Linked DNA regions of Drosophila melanogaster. The protein of the gene in region 1 interacts with the protein of each later gene in a pairwise test. Each region holds a gene or a part of one and is shown on either strand. Other genes may lie near its edges.

Region 1 (5,364 bases):
CAAGGCAATCCACTACTGCTCACCAGAGCATCAAAGGGCCCACTGGCCACAACACAAGCCAAACTGCGGAGCACCAGAAGTAGCCACTGAGAAGCCCTTAACACAAATCGTTTTCCCAGAATTTGAGATTGTAATGGACAGCAACCCCGTGGAGTCTGGCGAGGAGGACAAGGACGATGAGGCTCGCTTGGCGGAGTTCCAGGAGCTGGAGTCCAGCGGGAAGACGGGCGACTTGAGCAATGTTTCCGAGGCGGAGATGGACAAGTACTTCGGAAACTCGGCGGCCGCCGATGACAAGACCTTTCGTCAGTTCAAAAAGCAAACAGCAGCCGAACCCGATCAGATCGTGCGCTACAAACGTGGAGGCCAGCCCCTCTGGATCACGAATACCGTCAAAACGGTGGAGGACCAACTTAACAAGCTGCCCAATTGCATTGCTTGCGGAGGAGAGCGTCAGTTCGAATTTCAGATTATGCCGCAAGCGCTGACTCTTCTGGAGGACGAAAACCTCGACTGGGGCGTCCTGGCCGTCTACACTTGCGCCAAAAGCTGCCCCATCGACGGCTACGTGGAGGAGCTTCTCATCAAGCAGGACATTGTGGCGGAGGATCAGAGTTGACATTAAAATGCGTACATTTAAATTTTATTCTTGTCAATTACGAAACACGTGAACATTTACTTCAGCTTGATGATGGGGAAGTAGCTGTGTTTGGAGAAGTCGAACTCTGGCTGCCGCTTGACTTCCTTCTGGTGACCGCGAGCCAGCACATTCATCACCACAAAGTTAGTCCGTGCGATTTGCAGGAGGTCCAGCATCTGAAATTAAACGAAACGCATTTTAATCCAGGAAAACCAATTCAGAACTACCATTGACTTACCTCCTGATCTGGGTTTTGAATGCTTTCGAGAACATTGCGGGCCTGGTCAAAGTGCTTGGCCGCATAGGTATATAGATCCTCGACGCTATGTCGCATCATGTGCTCCCGGACGTTTTTGAACTCTGCGTACGAAACTGGCGGAGGACTGGTGAGTGTGGCGAAGGGCAGGAAGCGTCGGTTGTAGCGGATCTCCTCGTTGTCGAACTTGGACAGCGGCAGTCGCACGCGTCCGTCTTTGGTCAGGGCGCCCATTGCTTTATACATTCCGCCGCAGAGGCTGAGTAGCGCGTGGTAGAAGACGATCTCGGCGCGGTACGGCCTTTGAGTCTTTTTGTTCTTTTTCGGCTTGGCCGCCTTGCGGTTTTTAGCCGCTCCGCTGCCGCCCGACTGGGTCTTACTTTGGTGCTCGGCGTACTCCTCCTGGGCCAGGAGGATGTTCTCCGTGCGCGTCAGCGCGGAGACCAGGAAGCCAATGAGGAACTCGTATGGATACCAGTAGATGTAGAGGAACTCATGCACAGCATATAGTTCCAGCTCAAAGCCGGACATCAGGAAGATCAGCATCGCACGGAAACAGTTGTACAGCACCCATGTGGAGAAGTGGGTGCTGTGCTTCAGAGCGGTGGCCATGGGCTCGTTGCCCTCCATGGCTCGTTCGTTGGCCAGTTGGTTCATCATAGAGTCCAATCGCGCTGCATCCACTTGGATGGTGTCGAAGTTCTCTATCAGACGCGCCAGCTTATCCCGCTGTCTGGCGCGATTGAAGCCGCAGATGCGAATGAACTGCGTGAAGGTGTTCATGTTAATGCAGTAACGGAAGAAGTTCTCCAGGTGCTGCTGCACCTTGGGATCGGCAGCCACCGGATGCTTGGCATTCAATACGGGTGGCGAGTTGAAGACCTGAACCGAGTGGCGCAGGAACTGCTTCATGGGAAGCTTTCCGTGCGCCATACGCATGTTGGCGCTGAACAGGGTTTGCAGCACGCTTCTGGACAGGATGCACTGGCCCGACTTTTTGCTGTACTCGATAAAGAAGTTCTGGAAAGCCAGGATGTTATTACAATTTATTTTAGAAGTCACTTAAAAAGTCACTTACCAGCGCCGAATAGTAATCCTTGTACTTGGTGACTTTGCAGGCGTATTTGAAGCGCGAAATCATTTCCTCTAGAAACTGATAACTGGATGGACGATCCCTGATCTTAATGCTACGCGGAAACGCGGGCGGTTGGCTGCGGTCGTGGATGCGCGGAGAGAAACCCATGGGATTGGGAGCGTCAGCTAGTGATTTAGAAGGAAATACTCAGCATTTACATTGGCAAGTTATCTGTGACCACTTACACCCCTTCTCTGGTTGTGTGCCCCGATCCAAAGTGTTCCTTATTCCTGGAAGCATCTCGGAGGCCACAAGCAGGATTTTGTATATGTCTACCTTGTCATCGACGGTATCATTGCTGGCCATTTGCTCCACGTGGTAGATCACCTGGAAAAGATGGCGCATGAAACGCAGCCGGTGAACCACGGCCATCCAGTCCTCCGTGGAAGTCAGCTTTTTGCACTTGCGTATGAGCTCATCCTCCACATCCTTTAGCGAGCTATAAACAGTGGCTGGCTGTGCCTTCTCTGCAGCCAGAAGAGCAGAATTTCCGTACAGCTGGAAGTCCTCCTCCTCGTTGACAGCTGCCACGGCAATAATTTTCTTGATGACCACGATGAGATTGCGCACGGCAGTGCAGAAGACGCGCAGCGCCTTATCCTTGATCTGTGCGGGAGCGTGCAGGTAGAGGCAGGTGAATAGAACCTGGTCCATGGAGTTGCCCTCCAGCCAGGACACCAGGCAGGAAAACAGAGCATCATAGATGCCAATCAGTTCGGAGGGCGTGAGATCGTCCAGTTTGATGGCGCCCGTCTGGAAAGAGTCATCTATTAAGATACATATAGCTTAGCCAGGGGTCAGAAAGACAAATCTCACGGCAATGGCTGCCTCGAAAGAGGGCGGCGGAAGATCCTGCTTGTCGAAGCCCATGCCCACGTCCATCTTGGGGTCCATGATCTCGATGGCTGACATGGCCTCAAAAAGACCGAACAGCATATCCTGGGCCAGTTCCCCGGGCTGCAGCTCCGCGCAGGCATCGTGGAACTCCTTGGTTACGTCCACCCAGCCGTGCATCGGGTACTGGGTGATGTCCTCCGCAGCACTGCCGCTCCGCATGGTGCGCTGCACATCCGGATCCAGAAATCCGCACTCGCCCACGCTCCACTCGTCCTGTTCCAAGCTACTGGCCCGGGCAGCTGCCGCCGCGGCCGCCGTGGCAGCCTGGAAGTCCGGAGGCTCTGCAACGCTGCTGTGGATATGCGTATGTATGTGCATTTAGATGGTTATGCTCTGTATGTAGGCACGTCTGTGGGTTCTTGCCGGTGGTCTGTTGCTCACCTTCCGTTCATGGTGCTCGGATCTGCCTCCGCCGGCAAGGTCGAGGGATACATCTTTTGTACCTATATTCAACAGGCGGTCAACCTGTAGCTCGATGTGTTACAAATTTTCTTTTATTTATAAAAGATATTTTTAATGAATTAAAATATGTAACGTCCAGTGTGACCAAGTGACGAACGGTCAGCCATGCCTCTATGTTGCAAATATACCTCTTGGTACCAAACAAGTCATAATTTTCTATTTCTAAGTTCATTTTTGATTTTGCGGAGATAATCAATGGCTATATGATTATTAGAAATCTATAGAACAGTTCATTAATTTAAAGAAGAGTAGTTCATTGATACAGTCTTAAATAGGTATAAGCATAAATGCCTTCAGTATTTTTCAGCCCGCCAACATCCAACTTGGCAGCACTGGCGAAGTTAACAGTGTACTGTTTTAATTTGGGATGTTTTGAAAGCATTTAAAAGAAAGTCAGCAAAGATTTATGTGGTGCTTTTATGTTTTCCCATGATTTCAGCTTAGAATTTCTGTAAGTTACCCATAAAACAAGTGAGTTAGCATTCAAAATGTGGAACTTGGAGCCTTGGTGGCTTTTAAGCTGCACTGTTAAGCTTAACAGCCACGACCGTTACAACTGTTACCAAGTTCAAATGCTGAGTCAGGTGAAAATTGAAGTAAACAAGCAAAGCTTAGTTCATTGGACTGCGGCTGGCCCATTAACTAAACAAAATGACTGAAAGTGCAAGCCAGCGTTATCTGAGACCCAGACGACCGCCTAGACCGAACAGAACAGTTCCGCGGTTCAAAAAACACGGATCAAAGCACGAGCTCTCTTTAGTCTCACTTAATTATGTTTGCTCCGATTTGACTAAAGCAAATAAAGTATGCCTTGAACCGAGGCATTCTACAACCTTATCAGACGCGTTTGTTCCCGCTGTTATCGGAAACGGAAAAGCTCGCTTGCGCTTTCACTCCGCGGTTTCACTCCGGATTTCGAGCAACGCGGCGCAACGCCCGCCCCACGGATTTTGGGGTTGACCGCCACCCCGAGTGTTACAAGTATCCAAGTTGCGAGTGGGAGCTGAGCCCGAGGGGTTGGATTGGTTTGTTTACCACGGAGGCCCCACTTTCACTCGCTCGCTCTCCCCAAATCACAATCTTTCTCTGCCTCGGCTCCCAAATCTCTCTTGCTAGTGGCGATTTACTCAAATCAGAACGCTCATTTAAACGGAAGGTTACAATGTTCCCATAAACAGTGGATTCTTCTTATCAATACATTCATTTATGTATTTATTAAAACTTTTAGATGGAATATAAGTTTAAATATTTTAAGACTTTTAAGATATTTTGAATATGTTATTTGATTTCTTTAAAAGTGGTAATTTCGTGATTTATTTAAAAATAATTACATTGCTTGCCAAGAAAGCGCCTGGAGTTATGCAACATATTTGATTGTGTTAAAAATGTTATCCCCTTAGTATATTAATTTATATAACTTATTCGAATGCGATTCCCTTAAATCCCCACTTAAATCCACTGATTACTTCCTCCGCTGACATTGAGTAGTCTGCAGAGAGAACTTGGTAGCCCGAGGAGGAAACCCACTCAATGAATGAGCAGAACGCAGAACGGATGGGCAGAGAGATTGGGATTGGAAGCGACTGAGTTTTTGAGTTCGACCGGCGAACTATTTAAGCAACGCTCATTTGCTCATTGCATTTCAATGTGTTATCGTTGGCCATTAAAAAATAACACGAAAACGTTGGTCCCAAATCGCGAGAAGAATTCCACCTCCCTAGCATTCGAGTACATATAAGATTCTCAAGCCTGCAAAAGCTGGGCATCATCATTTCAAAAACGTGCTAACGGTTCACTTGGTCGGTCGAATCGGAACGAATCGGGCGAAAGTCTCCAACACAAATTCCGAAATTTAACGCTTCGTGGTATCCAAATCGAAGGAGGCGGCGCATTAGGCCCACTTATTAGCCAATTTCACGCGTAAGTTGCCGACAAAAATACATTTTTATTTTAGAATCCAGCTGTGACATTTAC
Region 2 (5,275 bases), on another chromosome or scaffold:
TCCGACGAGCAGTCCCAATAATCGACGGCGAAGCAGGTGATGTTTCCGAGACTGACACCGCCCATGTACATACATACTTAGGATAAGCCACAACTTCACATTCATGGTGAGTCCAGCTTAAGGTTAGGGCAGCCGCCGTTGGCTGAATTGAATGTTGTTCATACTTTAAAACCTCCTGCTAGTTAGGATAAGTCCATGATCGATCCGACTTTGAGTATTGAAACCGATTGTTGTTGACGAATGCGACCAAGTGTGGCAGGGCAGGGAAAGATCGGTGGGGCACGTCAAAAAGAGCCGAAGGAAGCAGTCATTATTTGACTTTGTGGATGAGTAGTTATCCGTAAGACATACTTTCCTAGTTCGAGTAGTTATAATTCTGTTTTTTATGATAATAAAACGAAAATACCGTACTGGCATATAGTTTCTCAATTGGAAAACACCACACAAACTTCCAAACAAGCTCGCTATTCCCCAAGTTGTGCTAAACTAAAGAACAGAAGGCAGGATTTTCGCATTTGTTGAAGATTTTATTGCGTTCTTTCAATGTTACTCGGGATCCACCACATCTTTATCCTTATCGCTACGTGTTACGTGTTTCTGGAGAGCACAGAGAGGTTACTTAAGACCAGATGGCGAGTTTTCTTAGCCGCGAGGACCACCGCCATCCACCCATTGAAGGTTTGTATACAAGTATGCATATGAGGCTGCATTTTTGTGTGTCTGTTCTCAGCTCTTGGTTCCAATTGCGTTTATTTTGATATACATGATCGAGTTTATCGTTCGACTTGCGCGATCATCGCTTTGATTGATCTTTTTACAAAATTTGATACTATGTTTATAGCTTTGTAAATGGGCGTCGATGAGCGTGTGCTGCGCTGCTGCTTCATGTTGTTGTCTATTCCCTAGATTGGTTTTTGTAGATTGTTTAATGTACATAACTAATTGCTTGCTTACGACTTTAATGCTTAATTTTATGCATGTAAATCACGTATTGCATACAAAATTGCCTCCTGTAAAATTAACCAAATTTCGGGTCCGTTGTGTGCTGCTCGTGCTGCTCCTGCATATGTAGCAGATGTTGCTCGTACTGCTGCTGCTACATAATAAAATAATTTACAAATGAAAGAGAGACAAGGGACGGTGTGAGTTGGGGAGAAAATAAACTGATGCTACGATGCTTCCTAGTTAAATAGGTACAAAAAAGAGGGCGCCGATACAAGCTGCCAGCTGGCCAGGACCCAGGACGAGGGGAGCGCCCTGGTCCTCCGCAGAGCGCAGATCTCGACATCTTCGGCGGCTACTTAGACAACAATTTCAACGGCAGCCGCCGGGTCCACTCATCTAAACCAGAGCTTCAGCCGCAGCGCGTCCACCCCGTTAAGATAGTAGCGGAACAGCCGCTTATCTCGCACGAAGCCCAAGTTCTCGTAGAGCCGCAAAGCCGGCTGGTTACGCATCTCCGTCTCAAGCACCACCTCGTCGGCATTGTCGGCCAGCATTGCCTGCAAATGGGAAAATTGCAGTGTGATATAAGTTTTCACAGAAAGAGAGGTAGTTGGTATGTATCCCTCGCCAATGTGCCCGAAAGTATACCTCGAGGCTCGAGGAGCCATTGGTGAGCTTTGATGGCAATTTCATCCATAGTTAACAACACATAATTGTTCCGTAACACACATATCGAGCATCGATTACATGCAACCCGATTTATAACTTATTGCAAGGGAAAGATGCCCCAGACATCCTACCTCTATGGCCTTGGTGACCAGCGTGGTGCCGATTTTGAGCTTGCGATACTCCTTGCGCACGGCCAGCATGGCGATGTAGCCGCGCCGCACGTTCATGTGCATATCCAGCTTGCACACGATGGCGCCCACGTACTGATTGTCGTGCGAGGCGAGGAAGCAGAGTTTTGGCCAATTGTAGATGAAGTAGCGATACGTGTATATCGAGTACGGCTCGGACAGCTCCGCCTGGATCAGTCGCATGATGTCCTGCGTGTTCGATATGCGGGGAATTAGATAAGTGTTGCGCACAGTTCGCACTTGGTCATACTTGGAGGTACTCACATGCATTTGGTGTTCAGCCTCGTATTCCTTATATACGATCTCGTCGGCTGAAATGGCAGGTTCCGGCAGTTGGAGCTGTGCTGTAATGGTGGGCGTGGCCCCCTCTGCATAGTCGGAGGGCGGTTGCTTCCTCTCCTGCTCCCGACTGTGGCCACTCCCCGTCGCCACATGCACTCCCTGTTCCACAGCTACATCCTCCGACACTTTTGGTTTTGGGTCCGTCGTTGTGGTTGGGTGTATGTTGGCAGTGGTTTTGCTTGTGGCTGTTATGGGCTTCTCCTCCGGTTTGAGGGAGTTCGAATCCGATCCTCCGCCGTCGCCTCCTTCTCTTCGCTGCTTGCGGTTGTTGTTGCTGCTGTCCACGCTGTTGTTGTTGTGAGTGCTGTTGTTGTTGTTGCTGCTGCCGCTTGTGCAGCGAATGTGATTGTTGTTGCTGTGCCCATGTGCATGGCCATTGACGACCTCCCCAAGCGGCCGAGCCTCCTGCTCCTTGTGACCATGGCCATTGCAAAGGTGCATCTTTTTAAGCAGGCCTCTGAGTTCCTGCGCTGGCTCCTGGTCTTCCGTCGCCTCCTCCTCTTGGTGCTGAACGTGTCCATTGCTGGGTGTCTGTGCCTCCACCTGGCCACTGGAATTTGGATTGTGATTGGGGTTCTTCTCCGCTGAGTTCTTTTTGTTCTTGTACTTCTTCTTTCCGGCCGCCGCTGCCTGGGCATCCGCCATTCTGAAAAGCGACGGAATTGGCTCTAAGAGGGAACCTGCTGCTCCTCCGGGGCTTATCTGGGAGGACTGGTAATCCTCGCCTGCAACCGTGTGCCTCGGACTTATTTTTGGTTATATTTTCACAGTTGATGGTTTTTCATTCACACGCACACGCACACGCTCACGCACATACTCACACACTCGCGCACGCACACATGGGGCAGTCGGCCGTCCTCTTTGTTGTGCTTCCGATATTCGGAGTTCCGGATCGATCAATCCGATCTCGATTTGTGGCGCTAGTGCGTGTGCATGGCAAACTTATGTAAAATCCTATATCCGCAAAACTCGTAATTTTCCTTGCTATGAATAAATCCCACCCACACATATGCGCGAACAGCTGTAACAGCAATCGATTGGCACTCGATACTATCGATACAATCATCGCCGGCCAACTGTGACTATCGGCTATCGAATTATCAATTGATATTATTACTATTAAATTAACAGCTAAGATTAATGAAAATATTTAAAAATTATATTAAATAAAATCTAAAACTACGTTGATTTTATCAAATTTATATTTGGCATGCACCTTACATCGCAAATGTTCATATATTTGATATTTGATTAGATTTGATCTTTGTAATATTATTACAATCTTTAAACGTAATATTCTCATACCTATATTCTTTATAGCTGCCATTTAATTTCTGACTTTGGAATGTTAACTTATTTGTATTTGCAATACTTTTGCCAAATTAGATCGTCAGCTTGTGCCTTTTTGCGAGGGTGTGCTGTACATAACGGAAAAGAGGATCAATAATAAGAAGAAGAAGCTGCTCATTTCAAAGTTCTCTTCTTGTTCTTCCTTTTCTTCTTAAAGAAGAAGCAACTATTTTACGGCGTAAAGATTTTTGATTTACGGGACTTTTGTTTGAAAAAAGTGCTGCAAATCAGTTTGAAGTGTTAGTTATAATTAAGTGCATGTCGTGGCAATGAGTAGCATCGAAATGTTACCCGAAAACGGATGGAAGTCCAATAAATTGCTCGAAACGTATGTTCACTTACACTCGCCATTTAAAAGTATACGTGTGTGTGTTTGTGTGTACGTGCGTGTTTTCTCCTGCGCTTATTTTTTTGTCTCTTTTGTTTTGTGATTTCCAAACTATTAAAAACGTTCTTCAATTGGTAAGTTACTAGTTAAATTCAGTTGTACTAATTAATAACTCTGCAGTGCGACCTTCGCCTACTTTTGGTTTCCTTTTCGCGCCATTAGCATTCGCCATAAAATAAAATCCATAAATTACAGCTAAATCAAATGCAATAAAACCAAATTACAATCTCGAATCATATAAGTCACATAAGTCACTAATCCGCAGTTTCCTGAGATCTGCACTTCCTCCACTTTCCTTGCCGTTTGTCTTGGTTGAGAACGCAGGATTATTCGGAACTTGCAAAGGTTTCGAGTCAAATGAAAATATAACCCCTGATTTTACAATGTATGTACATATGTATGTGGTAACTGCCAGGAGAAATCCGCCTGCCGTTTGCTGTCAATTTTGTGGATTTTTAACGACGGCAATCAGTCGACTGTTTTAGCGTTATAGCCCGTCGCTTTGATGGGGACTCCAGCTCCTCCCAACGTCATAATCGAAAGACTTGGGTAACGAACGAACTCGGCATGGCCGATGTCGTTGCCTCTCAGTTGGGCTGGCTGCCCCCAGAACTGGGACTACATCAGCACTAGCTGGTGACGAAATCGGCTGGGGAGGCCAGGCGGTCTCGATCTTCGATCTGCTTTCGGACCAGCATAGCCTACTTTGCATACGGAATTGGACTTGAATTTGATTGACTGAAATTGAATAATCCGAGCCACGCGATTGGATAATTTCTTGAAATTTTGCATACGAACTTGCAAGCGCAAGTTGGCGTCCGTTTTTCTGGACGTCTGTTTCACTTTTCGCTGTTGCTGCAGTGACGCGGGCAAATCCAAAATTAGCAAAGCAAACAACATACGGAGAAAGTGAATGGCCGAATAAAGTAAAAGCAGTGGCGGAGAAAGGGTAACGAAGAAAGGGGAGAGAGCGGGAGCGGACAGGTGCCGCAGCCAACGCCTTATCACCTTGCTGGCGGAGATCTCTAAAAGATAGAGATACAATTTAGCACTTAGCACCCACGTGACGAAATGATATATGCAGTTTGGCCACAATGGCATGGACTTCTTGTTTTAAACTATATTTTTTGTGTCGGTTGATCATGGTAACTGGCGGCTCCCCAGCCAACGGACATAGCATTGTCAGTTGGTTCGTCAGTGAAGTTGGTTCTATAAGTCAAGAGCTACGTATGCTAAGGCCACCTAAGGGTATTAGGGTATTTGGCCTGCGACCTGGGTATTTGACCAATTTTATTTTGCACATCCACGGCGCATTAAAGCAATTCACTTTTTGCGCGATGCTCCATAGCTCCATAGTTCCATAGCTCCAAGCCGAGCCCCACTCCATTCTCCC

The links.
Region 2: the proteins of Naa35 (region 1) and Naa30A interact in a two-hybrid assay, tested with the Drosophila melanogaster proteins (2 studies listed by BioGRID).

The regions. Positions count from the first base shown.
Region 1 is NT_033778.4:24,134,552-24,139,915, forward strand, and holds Naa35 (N(alpha)-acetyltransferase 35), read right to left. Parts: upstream 3,500-5,364; 5' UTR 3,363-3,499; coding exon 3,310-3,362; intron 3,221-3,309; coding exon 2,848-3,220; intron 2,785-2,847; coding exon 2,217-2,784; intron 2,157-2,216; coding exon 1,975-2,156; intron 1,917-1,974; coding exon 879-1,916; intron 855-878; exon of another isoform or gene 817-854; coding exon 676-816; 3' UTR 629-675; downstream 1-628. Other genes in the region: Zfrp8 (zinc finger protein RP-8), read left to right, coding at 1-619. UniProt on the Drosophila melanogaster protein: Auxillary component of the N-terminal acetyltransferase C (NatC) complex which catalyzes acetylation of N-terminal methionine residues.
Region 2 is NC_004354.4:1,340,006-1,345,280, reverse strand, and holds Naa30A (N(alpha)-acetyltransferase 30 A), read right to left. Parts: upstream 3,176-5,275; 5' UTR 2,790-3,175; coding exon 2,067-2,789; intron 1,992-2,066; coding exon 1,746-1,991; intron 1,503-1,745; coding exon 1,338-1,502; 3' UTR 511-1,337; downstream 1-510. Other genes in the region: MTPAP (mitochondrial poly(A) polymerase), read left to right, coding at 1-40.